Linked DNA regions of Lonchura striata. The protein of the gene in region 1 purifies or fractionates together with the protein of each later gene. This does not show direct contact. Links are inferred from orthologs where the notes say so. Each region holds a gene or a part of one and is shown on either strand. Other genes may lie near its edges.

Region 1 (3,744 bases):
AGACACAGAGTTTATCCTATTTTGAGGTATTTTTTAAACAGGAAGGTCCGTCTGGATGGATTCTCCTGACATAAGATGCTCTTTACCAACAAGCAGGCCATTCTGGAAACCCACCAGCCTCCTAATACATCCCCAGCGGTTCATTATTTTTGCCTCATGAGATTCTTGCCAAAACAGCTAAACATTTGAAAGACATCTGCACCCTTGATATGGGAGGCTTAACATGCAGTCCCTCAGTCTTTGTAAGCAATGCCAAGAGCGGGAGCTCTTCGATTGCTTCAAGGAACTGGGCGCAGCATGGCTCTTCCTGCAGAGCACTCGATAGGGAACTGTGCCTGCGAAGTCCTCCGGACACGCATGGCCATGGACGCTTTCCATCCGAGCTTTCCGCCGGCTAGCGCCACAGAGGATCCGCGCCCGGCAGCCGCGCTGGTGAGGCTGTGACCCGCCACCTCCCGCAGCGCCCTCCACCCAGCCGAGGGATAGCCTCGGTGAGGATTCCCGAGCAGACAGGGGCAATTGCAAACGTGAGGAGCACAACTGCTCCAACTGTGGGTACACAGCCCAGCCGGAAAGCCTAACGCAGCTGAAGGATGCTTGAGAGAGGCCACTTCTTTGCTCTCAGGAACGACCACCGTGCTCCGGGGATGGAACCCGGGAGCTGCCCCCTTCCCTCGGGAGGACAGAAAGAGGGATCGCGGCGCACTCCGCGCCCTCGCTGCCAGGCTCGGCGGCTCGGCGGCGCGGCCCCCGGCCCCGCCCCGGCCCGCCCCCCGCGCGGCACGCCGGGCCAGCATGGCCGCCTCCCGGCCCGCCGGGCGCCGGCCGCGGCGCTGAGGGGCGCGGGGCAGCGCCCGCCGCGGGCCGCCCGCCATGGAGGGGAGCTCCAGCTGCGAGAGCCTGGGCGCCGGGCGGGCGGCGGCGCGGCCGCCCAGCGGCGATTCCCTGTCCAGGTACCGCCCGCCGCCGAGCCGGGGACCACCGCGGGGCGTGGGGGCAGAGGGAGAGCGGGGAGGGGCCGCCGGGAAAAGGAACCGACGGGATGGAGCTGGTGCGGCTTGCTCCCTCCGTGGGCAGCAGGCTCCTGCGTTTACCCGGGATCGGGTCTCTCCTGCTGGGGTGTACCTGCGCTGGGGGTGGCCGTGGGGTGACGGAGCAGGAAGGCAGGCGTGGGCTCCGCTTGGCTGCGGCACAGCCTCTCTCTTCCAGGGCTTTAAGCAGAGCAGGAGATGCTGCCTCCACCCGGCTCTCGGCAAATCCCTGCCTAGGCAGAGCAGTGCCCCTGCCCTTGGTGCCTGGGTCTGGGAGAAGGGCAGCACAGGTGAGCGGTGCTGGAAGGGCGGCGCGGCACCTGCATGGGAGCTGCCTTTCAGCACGCTGCCGGGCCCGCGCCAGGCCTTGCCCTCTTCAGGAGCAAATTTCCTGTGGCATGTTCAGCCTCTGGTTTTGCCGTCATGGTTTTTTCTGAGAGCCTGACTTTGCGGTCTGAATGGCTTGTAATGCCATGTGGGTAATATTCAAGGTCCTTAAATCATAGAAGCCAAAAGGAGACTTTTGTGTTCTTCCCACCGTCCCTGAGCTACCAGTGAAATTTGAATTTAGTGACTGAAAGCACATCCTGCTTGGGCCTTGTGTTTGACGGAGAAGGTTGCAGTAGGGTAGCAAGGGCAGGTACTGAGAGACTGATAGGGCTGGTGGTGTGGGAAGCCGTGGTGTTGTGGTCGACCCCGGGAGCAGGATATCCTGATGCCTGCTGAAGGTCGTTCAGTCCCATTCTGGCTGCTCTTGCTCTTGCCCAATTCGTAGGATCACTGGATAACTCAGGCTGAAGAAATCTCAGCATCCCCGAGTCCAGTTCTGGCTCATACCAGAGACAGCTTTAAGATCAGATGGGGCTACTTCTGGTTTTTACCCAGTTTGGTCTTGAAAACCTACAAAGATGAAGTGCACACAGACTCTCGGGACAGCCCATCAGCATCTCCTGTGTATCTTCCACGAGCACTGGGGCTGCATTTTTGTTCCCCCTAAAGCTGTCTCTCCACACAGGCAGGATGCTCCAGCCCCACTATCCCAGTGGTGCTTCCCTGTACTCCCCCTAGTTCCCTAGCAGCTTCCCTGGACTGTGGGGCTAGTACCTGGATGAAGTATTCCAGAAATGCTCTGCTGAAAGCTGAGTAGAGAGGAATCCTTCCCTGGATCTCCTGGCTCTGCCTCTGTTCTTAGAGCCCAAGATGCTGGTGGCCACTTTGTTGCCAGCATCTCAAAACTCCCATCCTTGGCTATTACCCAACTGCTCCTCAGACAGGCATCATCCTGTTTGCACTCAGGTTTCTTCATTCTTGAGTCCTTTGTGACTCCTGACCCTCATTTCACCCTTCATCAAATTCTACTCGCTGCTCTCTGTACTGGTTTCCTTGTGCAGTTCTACTAGTGCCATGCCAGAACCTGCAGGCTTCTTTCCCCCTTACCTAACTGACCCAGTATGTTCTTCTTTTTATCTTTACATCAGCTCAGGCAACTTGGACCCATCTGGAGGTCATTCACTGTAAGAGGCCTATGGACACTAAAGAGAGCTTAACTCAGAAGAGCCAGTGGCTACAAGGAAGCTCCTGTTGAGCCTCTCGGCAGCGTGCCCTGCACAGATGGAACCGTGGGGAAATTGAGATGATAAATCTGTTGCTGTTGAGCATGCACAAGGCTGTGTCCTCCAAGCCCTGGAAAGGCCCACACTATTAACAGATTCCTTGGGATGTAAAAAAAGCTTATTCAAAAGCTTTCAGCATCTTGAGTCTCTGCTTGAACATCTAGAGACCATAGAAGAAAGCTAGCCAGTTGGGAAGGTTTAATGTACTCCAAACAAAGTATAGATACTTGAAATAGATTAATGTTTTAAATCTGTAATTATTAATAAAAATACCCCCATCTTGAGTTGGTGTTGGCTGTGGAACGTTTTAGTTGAAATGGCTCAAGGTTAGCACAGAATTACAAGAATATAAAGCCAGAGTCTTGTAATGAGAGATGCCTGGTGACCTTCAGAATGTTTATTATCAGCATCCCTTGCCAATCCAGTGATGCATATGCACAAATAAATAATTTTCTATGAATTGGACAGTAGATTGATTATCATCAGGTTTTTTTTTTTTTCATTAAAGCTGTATTGCAGTTTGATTTTATACATCAGAATAATTCTCTGAAGCTAAATGGACTATTTGTATGCATTGAAATATACTAATTTTAATCTCTGTGATTGTGATCTAACAGCAAGACCAGCTTCAAATTGTAACCTGTGACACATTTTCGCCAAATGATTTTGTTTGAAAAGAAGAAGTTAGCTTTGGGGATGATGTGAGGGACACGATGAATCATGAGGATGCTGTCATCAGTTTTGATAATTCATTTTATTTAAAAGGAACAAAAAAGAAAAAATGACTCAAAGGTCACTCATCACCATTACCTAGCCATATGAAGCCTTACTGAGTTGTAATTACTGAATTGTTTTATGCAAAATTTAGAAGACTTGGAAAGGTGCTGATATGAAATACATACAGCAGTGCATTCTTTAGATCGTCTTAGCTCCTGATCGGAAGTATTATTATTTCTAGAGGTACTTAAGATCTAGCTCCTCAAGGAGACATGCTTGATAGAGTTTACTTACACATAAGGCTGCTTACATTTGAATAAGTGTCTTGAAGAGCATTATACGTTTGTCTTTTAATAAAGCAGATGAGATATGGCAGTAAGGGC
Region 2 (3,744 bases), on another chromosome or scaffold:
CACGGCTCTGCCGGAGCAACCCAACCTGTACAGCAATTAGTCACTGGCAGATGAGCACCGCTGCCCTTCCTCCAGCATTATCTAAGCAGGGAGGGGGCTGGGAAAACAGAGCTGGGAGCCGGGAATGCTGCCAGGCTGATCCCAAAAACCACAGAACCGGTGTCGGTCCATCCCTGGGGACAGGCTGGCACATCCCTGGGGACAGGCTGGCACATCCCTGGGGACAGGGCGCAGGACAGTGCTCGGACACCTCCAGAGCAGCACGGGAAGGGGTTTGCTCGGGCTGGCACAGAGAGGCCACAACTCCTGGGTGCCTCAACCTGGACAGGTCACATCTGACTGGGCCATCCCAGCAGCCAGGGGGGTCAGGCTGGTGTCCTGGAGCTGTCCCTTCCCAGGGCATCCTGGATCCATCCCATGCAGGGGATCCTGGAGCTGCCCCTTCCCAGGGCATCCTGGATCTTTCCCCTCTACAGCATCCTGGTTCCACCTCCCCACAATATCCTGGAGCCATCCCCTCCCTGCAGAGGTGAGTCAAACCCAAAATAAAGTGAATATTTACCCCAGAGGAACATAACTTGTTAAATGTGAGCTCTTCCCTTCCCAGTGGCACAGAATCACGACGTGATTTGGGTGGGAAGGGACCAGAAAGTTCATCCTGATCCATGGCAGGGACACCTCCCACTGTCCCAGGCTGCTCCAGCCCCAGTGTCCAGCCTGGCCTTGGGCACTGCCAGGGATCCAGGGGCAGCCCCAGCTGCTCTGGCAATTCCAGCCCAGCCAGGAATTCCTCATTCCCAATCTCCCACCTAAACCTGTTCCTCTTTTTGGCTGTCCCAATACAGCCAATCACACCACCTCACAGCATCATCCCTCTCCCCAAAACAAATCCCAAATGACCCCAGGCACACGTGGGACGTTTCTGTTCCCTGGGAAAGTCACAGCAAGGAACACCAGGCCCAGGGAATGCCAGGTCCCTGATCCCCACCCGTCACCAACCCGCTCACAGCAGCAGTTTGAAGGTGCAGGCCGCAGCTGCAGCATCCTCAGGAGGAGATGAGGAAGAAGATGCAGGAGGAAGCACCCGGAGGCAGGACAAAGGGGGTACCACCCCCCCAGCACAGCTCCTGAGAGGATGTGGAGCCTGCTCCCAGATGGAATCCCGGAATCCCCCCTGCATCTCCCACCCCAGCATGGTGTGAGCTGTGGGACAGCAGCTCCTGCCCAAGGGGACACCGGGGGAACACGCCTGCAGAAACAGCAATAAGAACAGCAATGAAACACCAAACCGACAGCACACGACCACAAAGCCCTCAGGAAACACCAAACTCTGATGCAGAGCTCTGCTCTCCAGCATGCCCGACACCCAGCTCGCTCCTCCTGCCCTCCTCCAGCTGCTCCAGGCGGGGATCCGCCCCGAACCGAGCCCCAGCAGCATCCCCGATGACCAAACCCGCAGCAAAACCAGCAATCCCCTTCCCCAGCTGCCAGCACAGGCTCGGAACGAGCTCAGCACAGCCTGGGGACATGCCAAGAGGGCAGAGACGCTCAGGGGGGCCCTGCAGCCCCGATTTCCTGATTTTAGGGCATTTCGCCTCCTCTGCGACGCTGCCAAAGCTCCTTTTCCCCAACAGCTCTGGGGGCGGGAGGCAGAAGGAAACACGACGGGAAGAGACCTTAAATCCCCACCACGGAACATCCCCCACCAAAACATCCGACAGCATCACCTGACGGCGAGCAGGGATGCGGGAGAGGCCAGGGGAGCGAGCTGTCTGCCAGATCCGGGGCTCAGCAGCGTCCGAGGGAGCAGGGAGGGCACCAGGGGCTGCTCTAGAACGGGGCTGGGGGTGCCCGGGAACGGGGCTGGGGGTACAAACCCCGTCCCGGGGGCCGGGGGTACAAACCCCGTCCCGGGGGCTGGGGGTACAAACCCCGTCCCGGGGGCCGGGGGTACAGACCCCGTCTCGGGGGCTGGGGGTACAGACCCCGTCCCGGGGGCTGGGGGTACAAACCCCGTCCCGGGGGCCGGGGGTACAGACCCCGTCCCGGGGGCCGGGGGTACAGACCCCGTCCCAGGGCCGGTGGGTGCCCCCTGGAAGCACCACATCCCACGCCAGCAGCTGAGGACGCGCAGCGGGAGCAGGCCGGGGGCCACGGTCGGAGCACAGCGGTGCCCCCCGGCCCAGCCCATGTTCCCGGAGCGGCGACACACCGAAAACACCCAAACCGTGCAGCGTGAGCCGCGCAGGGCCGGCCCCGGCTGCCGGGACCGCCCGGGGGCTGCTCGGAAGGGATTTCACGGGGGGATGAGAACTGCCCGCTGCTGCCCGGCCCGGCACCGGCGACGGCCCCGCAGCCTCGGCCCCGCTCCGGGACCACCCTGCACCGCCGCCAGGGCCCGCCCCGCGCCCCCGGCCCCGCGCCCACCCCACAGCCCCGGCCCCGCGCCCCCGGCCGGAGCGGCCCGCGCGGGCCCGGCCCCCCCGCGTCCCTCCGCCGCTCACCGCGCTTGCCGGGGTCGTATCCCACGAGCACGAAGTAGTCAGCCAGGCGGGCCATGGCGGCGGGGGCGGCCCGGGCCGGCCCCGGGAGCCCCGGGAGCCCCGCGAGGCCGCGCTCGGCTCCTCAGGGCCCCTCAGGCCGCCGCCGCCGCCCGCCCGCGCCCACCGCCCGCCGCCGCCGCCATCTTGGCCCCGCGCGCACCGCGCCTGCGCCAGCGCCGCGCGCCGGGGGGGCGGGGCCGCGCCTCCCATTGGCTGCGGCCGGGCGGGGCCGCGCCTTCCCATTGGCCGAGACGGGAAGGGCGGGGCCGGGCGCGAAGGGGGCGGTGCCCTGTGGTGAGGGGCGGGGCCTGGTGCGGAGGGGGCGGGGCCGAGACGTCCCCCGGAGGGGGGGAACGGAGGGTCCGGGAATGGGGGGACACGGGGACATCCCGGGGGACACGGGGACTTCCCGGGGGTGTGTGGGGATATCCTCAGGGTGTGGGACACCCCGGAGGTGTGGGGACATCCTGGGGTGCGGGGACATCCCGGCGGTGTGGGGACATCGGGACATCCCGGGGTGCGGGGACATCCCCGGTGTGCAGGGACCCCTCAGGTGTTCACGCACACGCGTGTGGGGACCCTCCGGATGCGGGGGGACACCCCCCGTGAGCACAGACCCCCCCCAGGTGTGCACGGCCCGCAGAGTGCCCACAGGTTTCCCGTGACCCTCATTCCACACAGTCCCCCTGGAAAGGACCCCCGCAGGTGTGACCCCCCTCAGGTGTGTCCTACACACAGGTGTGTCCCCATACAGGTGTGACCCCACACACAGATGTGACCCCATACAGGTGTGACCATACACACAAGTGTCCCCACACACTGAGATGTGACCCCACACACAGATGTGACCCCACACAGATGTGACCCCACACACAGATGTGACCCCATACAGGTGTGACCATACACACAAGTGTCCCCACACACTGAGATGTGACCCCACACACAGATGTGACCCCATACAGGTGTGACCACACACAGATATGTCCCCACACACTGAGGTGTGTCCCCACACAGATGTGACCCCACACACAGATGTGACCCCACACAGGTGTAACCCCACACACAGATGTGACCCCATACAGGTGTGACCATACACACAAGTGTCCCCACACACTGAGATGTGACCCCACACACAGATGTGACCCCATACAGGTGTGACCACACACAGATGTGTCCCCCACACTGAGGTGTGTCCCCACAC
Region 3 (3,744 bases), on another chromosome or scaffold:
CTTGAAGCTTCCTGTCAAATTTGCATCTGGCTTAGCAGCAAGACACTGCATCACCATGTCCCAGCTACGAGGTGTAAGAACGGCGTGTTTGAAGCAGAAATGTCTCTGAGACCACTAAGGACTGTTTGCTGGGTCAGGGTGGATCGTCAGGAGCCAGTTTGCTGCACTTGCACACTCAGCCCAGCATCCACGACTGCTCCTCGCTGGAGCGCAACCCATGTCCTCTGCGCTGGCTCTTCTGTGCTGTCATACGGGACATACATAGACGCTTATCAGAGTGGTTTCTGCAGGCTCCGCCAGCGACCCAAGCGCTGCACTGTCCGCGCGTGTAACCTCAGCATCTCCGCGACTGCTGGCAAAGTCCACTGTGCTTTCGAGGGCCACGGTCCTAAAGGCGCCCGCCTCATCTGCACGTTACAAACAGCACCGCGGCAGCTCCCGGCGCGGCCTCGCTGAGCGCCCCGGCGGCCGCCGCCCGTGCCCGGGCCAGCACGTCCGAGGTCCCGCGGGTCACGCCGAGGCGCCGCTGGGCAGCGCCCGCGGGGAGCAGCGGGGCCGGGCCGGGGACCCGTGCCGACCCTCGGCACCGCCACGGAGCTGAGCGGGGCCGCGGCACGGCTGCCCCCGCACACCCCGGACAAAGCGTGACCGGGACACTTCTGGAAGCGCAATCCCCGATTCCCCAGGCCGGGCTGGCGGGGCCGCCGTTCTCTCGCCGCCGGCTTCCATTTCCGCGGAGGCTCGGCGAGGGCGATGCCCGGCGCCGGCTGCTCCCCGCGGGAGCGGCGAGCGCAGCGCCGCTCAAACGCTTGCGTCTCCCCGGGCACGCGGAGCGCTCCGACCCGCCGCCAGCGTCTGTCGTAAGGGGAACGAGCCCCGCGCCCGCTGCCCCCGGGCGGCCGCCGCGCAGGGGGAGGTTGCCGGGAGACAAAGCCCCGCGCGGGCGGGGCGCGGACCTCCCCCGCCGGGCCCTCCCCGCCCGCGGGGGCTGCGCAGGGAGGCCGCGGCGGCGGCGCGGCGTCCCGGCACGGCGGTCGGGCCGGGGCAGCGGCACTGCGGGACGGCCGGGCCGGGCCGCCCCAGCCCCCGCCCAGCCCCGGGGTCACGGCGAGCGGTCCGGGCGGCGCGCAGGCGCACGGCGTGCCCGCGCCTCCAACATGGCTGAGGTGGTGCCGCTCCTCCTGCGGCGGGCGCGGAGCGGAGGATGCTGAGCCTGCCCCGAGCCGCCGCCGCAGCCGCTGGGGTGGTGAGGCCGAGCCGCGCCCCGCGCAGCCATGGCCAGGCTGGCCGACTACTTCATCGTGGTGGGCTATGACCACGAGAAGACAGGTAGGTGTGGCTGCGCGCAGCGCTGCCCCGCCGCGCCTGGCCGCTCCCCGCGCTCCTGCCCGGCCCCGGCCCCCGCCCGCCTCCGGCCGGGCCGCGGGAGGAGGAGACTGCGGCGCGCACGGGGCGCGCGTCCGGCCGGGGGAGGAGGGGGCGAGCCAAGGGTTAATCCCCCTTGCCCGACGGGGAAGCGGCGGGGCTCCGGCACCGACCGGCCGGGGCAGCCCCGCCCGCCGGGAGCGGCTGCGGCTCCTTCCCGGGAGCGCGGGCAGGTTCAAACGGGGCCCGCGGCCGTGCCGGGCCCGGCGGCCGGAGCCGCGGGGCAGCGCCGGGGCTGCCGCTCCCCACCTGCGTCCCGCCGGCCGCGGCGCGACAGCCGCGCCCCCCGGCAGAACAAAGGCTGCGCTCGGCGAGCGGCGGCTTTGCCCCGTCTGGCTGCGCACCCATCGCCTGTTGAGCGGGGCCGCGGCCCCCGGGGAGCGCCGCACGCCGAATGGGGACGGAATGGGTGCTCTTCCTAAAGCCTCGGGATGCGCCCTGCCTGCTGGGGGGAAAGGGAAGTGGTGTTATCTGCTGGCGTTTTGTGGGCAGAGAGAGAGTGGTTTGTGTTACGTAACTCTCCGTTATGGTACCAGCTTTGTTGCTGCAGAGACCTCAAATGAGTGTTTAAACTGACTGGAAAACGAAGTGATCGTCAACTGGATTGTGTTTGTGCTGCGTATTTCAGAGCGATCCTTTGAATGTATGTTGTTAATAAACAATATTTTAAACAGTCGAATGTTCCCTAATTTATTTGACCATGCATAAACCAAACAACACTCAAGTTTGTTACTCAGAGTAATTCTTTGAAGTAGCAATTGCGTGTCATCTATATCTGTTCATTTGAAAAGTGCAGCTAATAAACTCAGATCATGTTTTTTTTTTTTTAAGAAATACAATTTTTAGAGACATCATTTTATTTGTGGGTTTAAAGATGCAATATCTTACAAAGTTCTGCTAAGATGTCTTGGATTTTACTATTCTGCAATTATCATTCTATTAATTACATCCTGGCTTCCTCTCCCACTCCATTTGATAATAGGTTTGTCCTAATTGTACTGTCAAAATCAAGCCGTGTGAAATAGGAAGTATTTTATTTTAAAAATAAAGACCTTTTGTCTCTCTCCTGTTTGGAACATTTCCCCTGACAAAGTAAAGAGAACCCAAATCAAAACAAGCAACCAGAAAACCCAGATGTGCTTTTAAGAAGACAAAGCAAGTAGGATGCTTAGGGTATGATCAATCTGACAGAGTATGTGAAGTGAAATTACAGATTGCATTGGAAAGCTTTATGTCTGTAAAATGTCTTCATCTGTGGCATTTAAATATGTGTTTAACTTCCTATACATAAATTGTCTCATGAAGGTTGGTAGAATTGCTTGCATGGGTGAAATTGAGCAGATTCAGAAATAAATTCTGAACCTTAATTTAAAAAGGTCATGCCCAGAAAGTAATTGTTTAGACTCTATTATTTAAATTACTTGTTGCTACTTTAATGCTTCGTAAGAAAAATGCTTGAAGGAACAACATTCTATTGAAGACTAGGCATGCATTGTTTTCCAAATTCCTTTACCCCCACATGCAATCCCATCATACATGGAGTACTGACCTTTATTTTTCTTAAAAAACTAGTTTTTTTGATGCACTTATTATGCTTCCTGTTATATGAAAAGCAGGGACAAACATTTCTAGGATTATAGACTAGCTACCCTTGAAACTTTTATATTTTTAAGTATGTTCCTTTTTTTTCTAATTTTTTTTCATCTGCATCTACCTTCTGGCTTGGTTTTAATGTGCTTGATTTGAATGCTGAGTGTAATTACATTTTGCAGTGTTTTCCTTTTCCTTTTTTTCCCAGGCATAATCTGTGGAATAGCTTTGTGTAAACAAGCAAACAAAAATGTTGTACCCTTCCCCCCAACCTGTGTGTCAGCAGCATTTGGGTGATAAACATTTGTGGTTTATAGGGAAGGGTGTTTATAGTAGTGACTGCTCTCCCAGGAAAGCCCCACTGTGTCTTCTGGCTCTCCTCTCACTGCTTTTATGGATTGATTTACATGTGCCAATATCTTACCCCTGAAAATGTGGTAAAGGTGCTGATTTTCTGGCTTTACTCAAAAAACATTTGCTGTAAATATCTAAAATGCAGTGTTAGTGCAGTTTAGGAGCAGATTGGTCGATTTTTCTTGTTTTGGAACAACTTTGTTACTGATGGTACAAGTTTTTATCCAGCGTAGTCTTCGGGGGAAGTGAAGAGTTTTACTGTCCTTGAATAAACCAGAGAGTGTCCTTTGGGAATCAAGCTTTTGAAAGTCCATTCCTATTCTGGTCTAGGCCTGTGTAAATTGATGTTACAGCAGCCCTAGAGCTGCCATTCCT

Evidence for each region.
Region 2: the proteins of MTMR2 (region 1) and SBF1 purify together in Homo sapiens (affinity purification with mass spectrometry; 6 studies listed by BioGRID and IntAct, with this or other methods). This does not show direct contact. The link is inferred for Lonchura striata from reciprocal best matches to the Homo sapiens genes MTMR2 and SBF1.
Region 3: the proteins of MTMR2 (region 1) and SBF2 purify together in Homo sapiens (affinity purification with mass spectrometry; 3 studies listed by BioGRID and IntAct, with this or other methods). This does not show direct contact. The link is inferred for Lonchura striata from reciprocal best matches to the Homo sapiens genes MTMR2 and SBF2.

The regions. Positions count from the first base shown.
Region 1 is NC_134604.1:39,953,431-39,957,174, reverse strand, and holds the start of MTMR2 (phosphatidylinositol-3,5-bisphosphate 3-phosphatase MTMR2), read left to right. Parts: upstream 1-828; 5' UTR 829-873; coding exon 874-953; intron 954-3,744. UniProt on the Homo sapiens protein: Lipid phosphatase that specifically dephosphorylates the D-3 position of phosphatidylinositol 3-phosphate and phosphatidylinositol 3,5-bisphosphate, generating phosphatidylinositol and phosphatidylinositol 5-phosphate.
Region 2 is NC_134607.1:72,716,620-72,720,363, reverse strand, and holds the start of SBF1 (myotubularin-related protein 5), read right to left. Parts: upstream 2,638-3,744; 5' UTR 2,560-2,637; coding exon 2,505-2,559; intron 1-2,504. UniProt on the Homo sapiens protein: Acts as an adapter for the phosphatase MTMR2 to regulate MTMR2 catalytic activity and subcellular location. Promotes the exchange of GDP to GTP, converting inactive GDP-bound Rab proteins into their active GTP-bound form.
Region 3 is NC_134608.1:51,964,466-51,968,209, reverse strand, and holds the start of SBF2 (myotubularin-related protein 13), read left to right. Parts: upstream 1-1,125; 5' UTR 1,126-1,274; coding exon 1,275-1,329; intron 1,330-3,744. UniProt on the Homo sapiens protein: Guanine nucleotide exchange factor (GEF) which activates RAB21 and possibly RAB28. Promotes the exchange of GDP to GTP, converting inactive GDP-bound Rab proteins into their active GTP-bound form.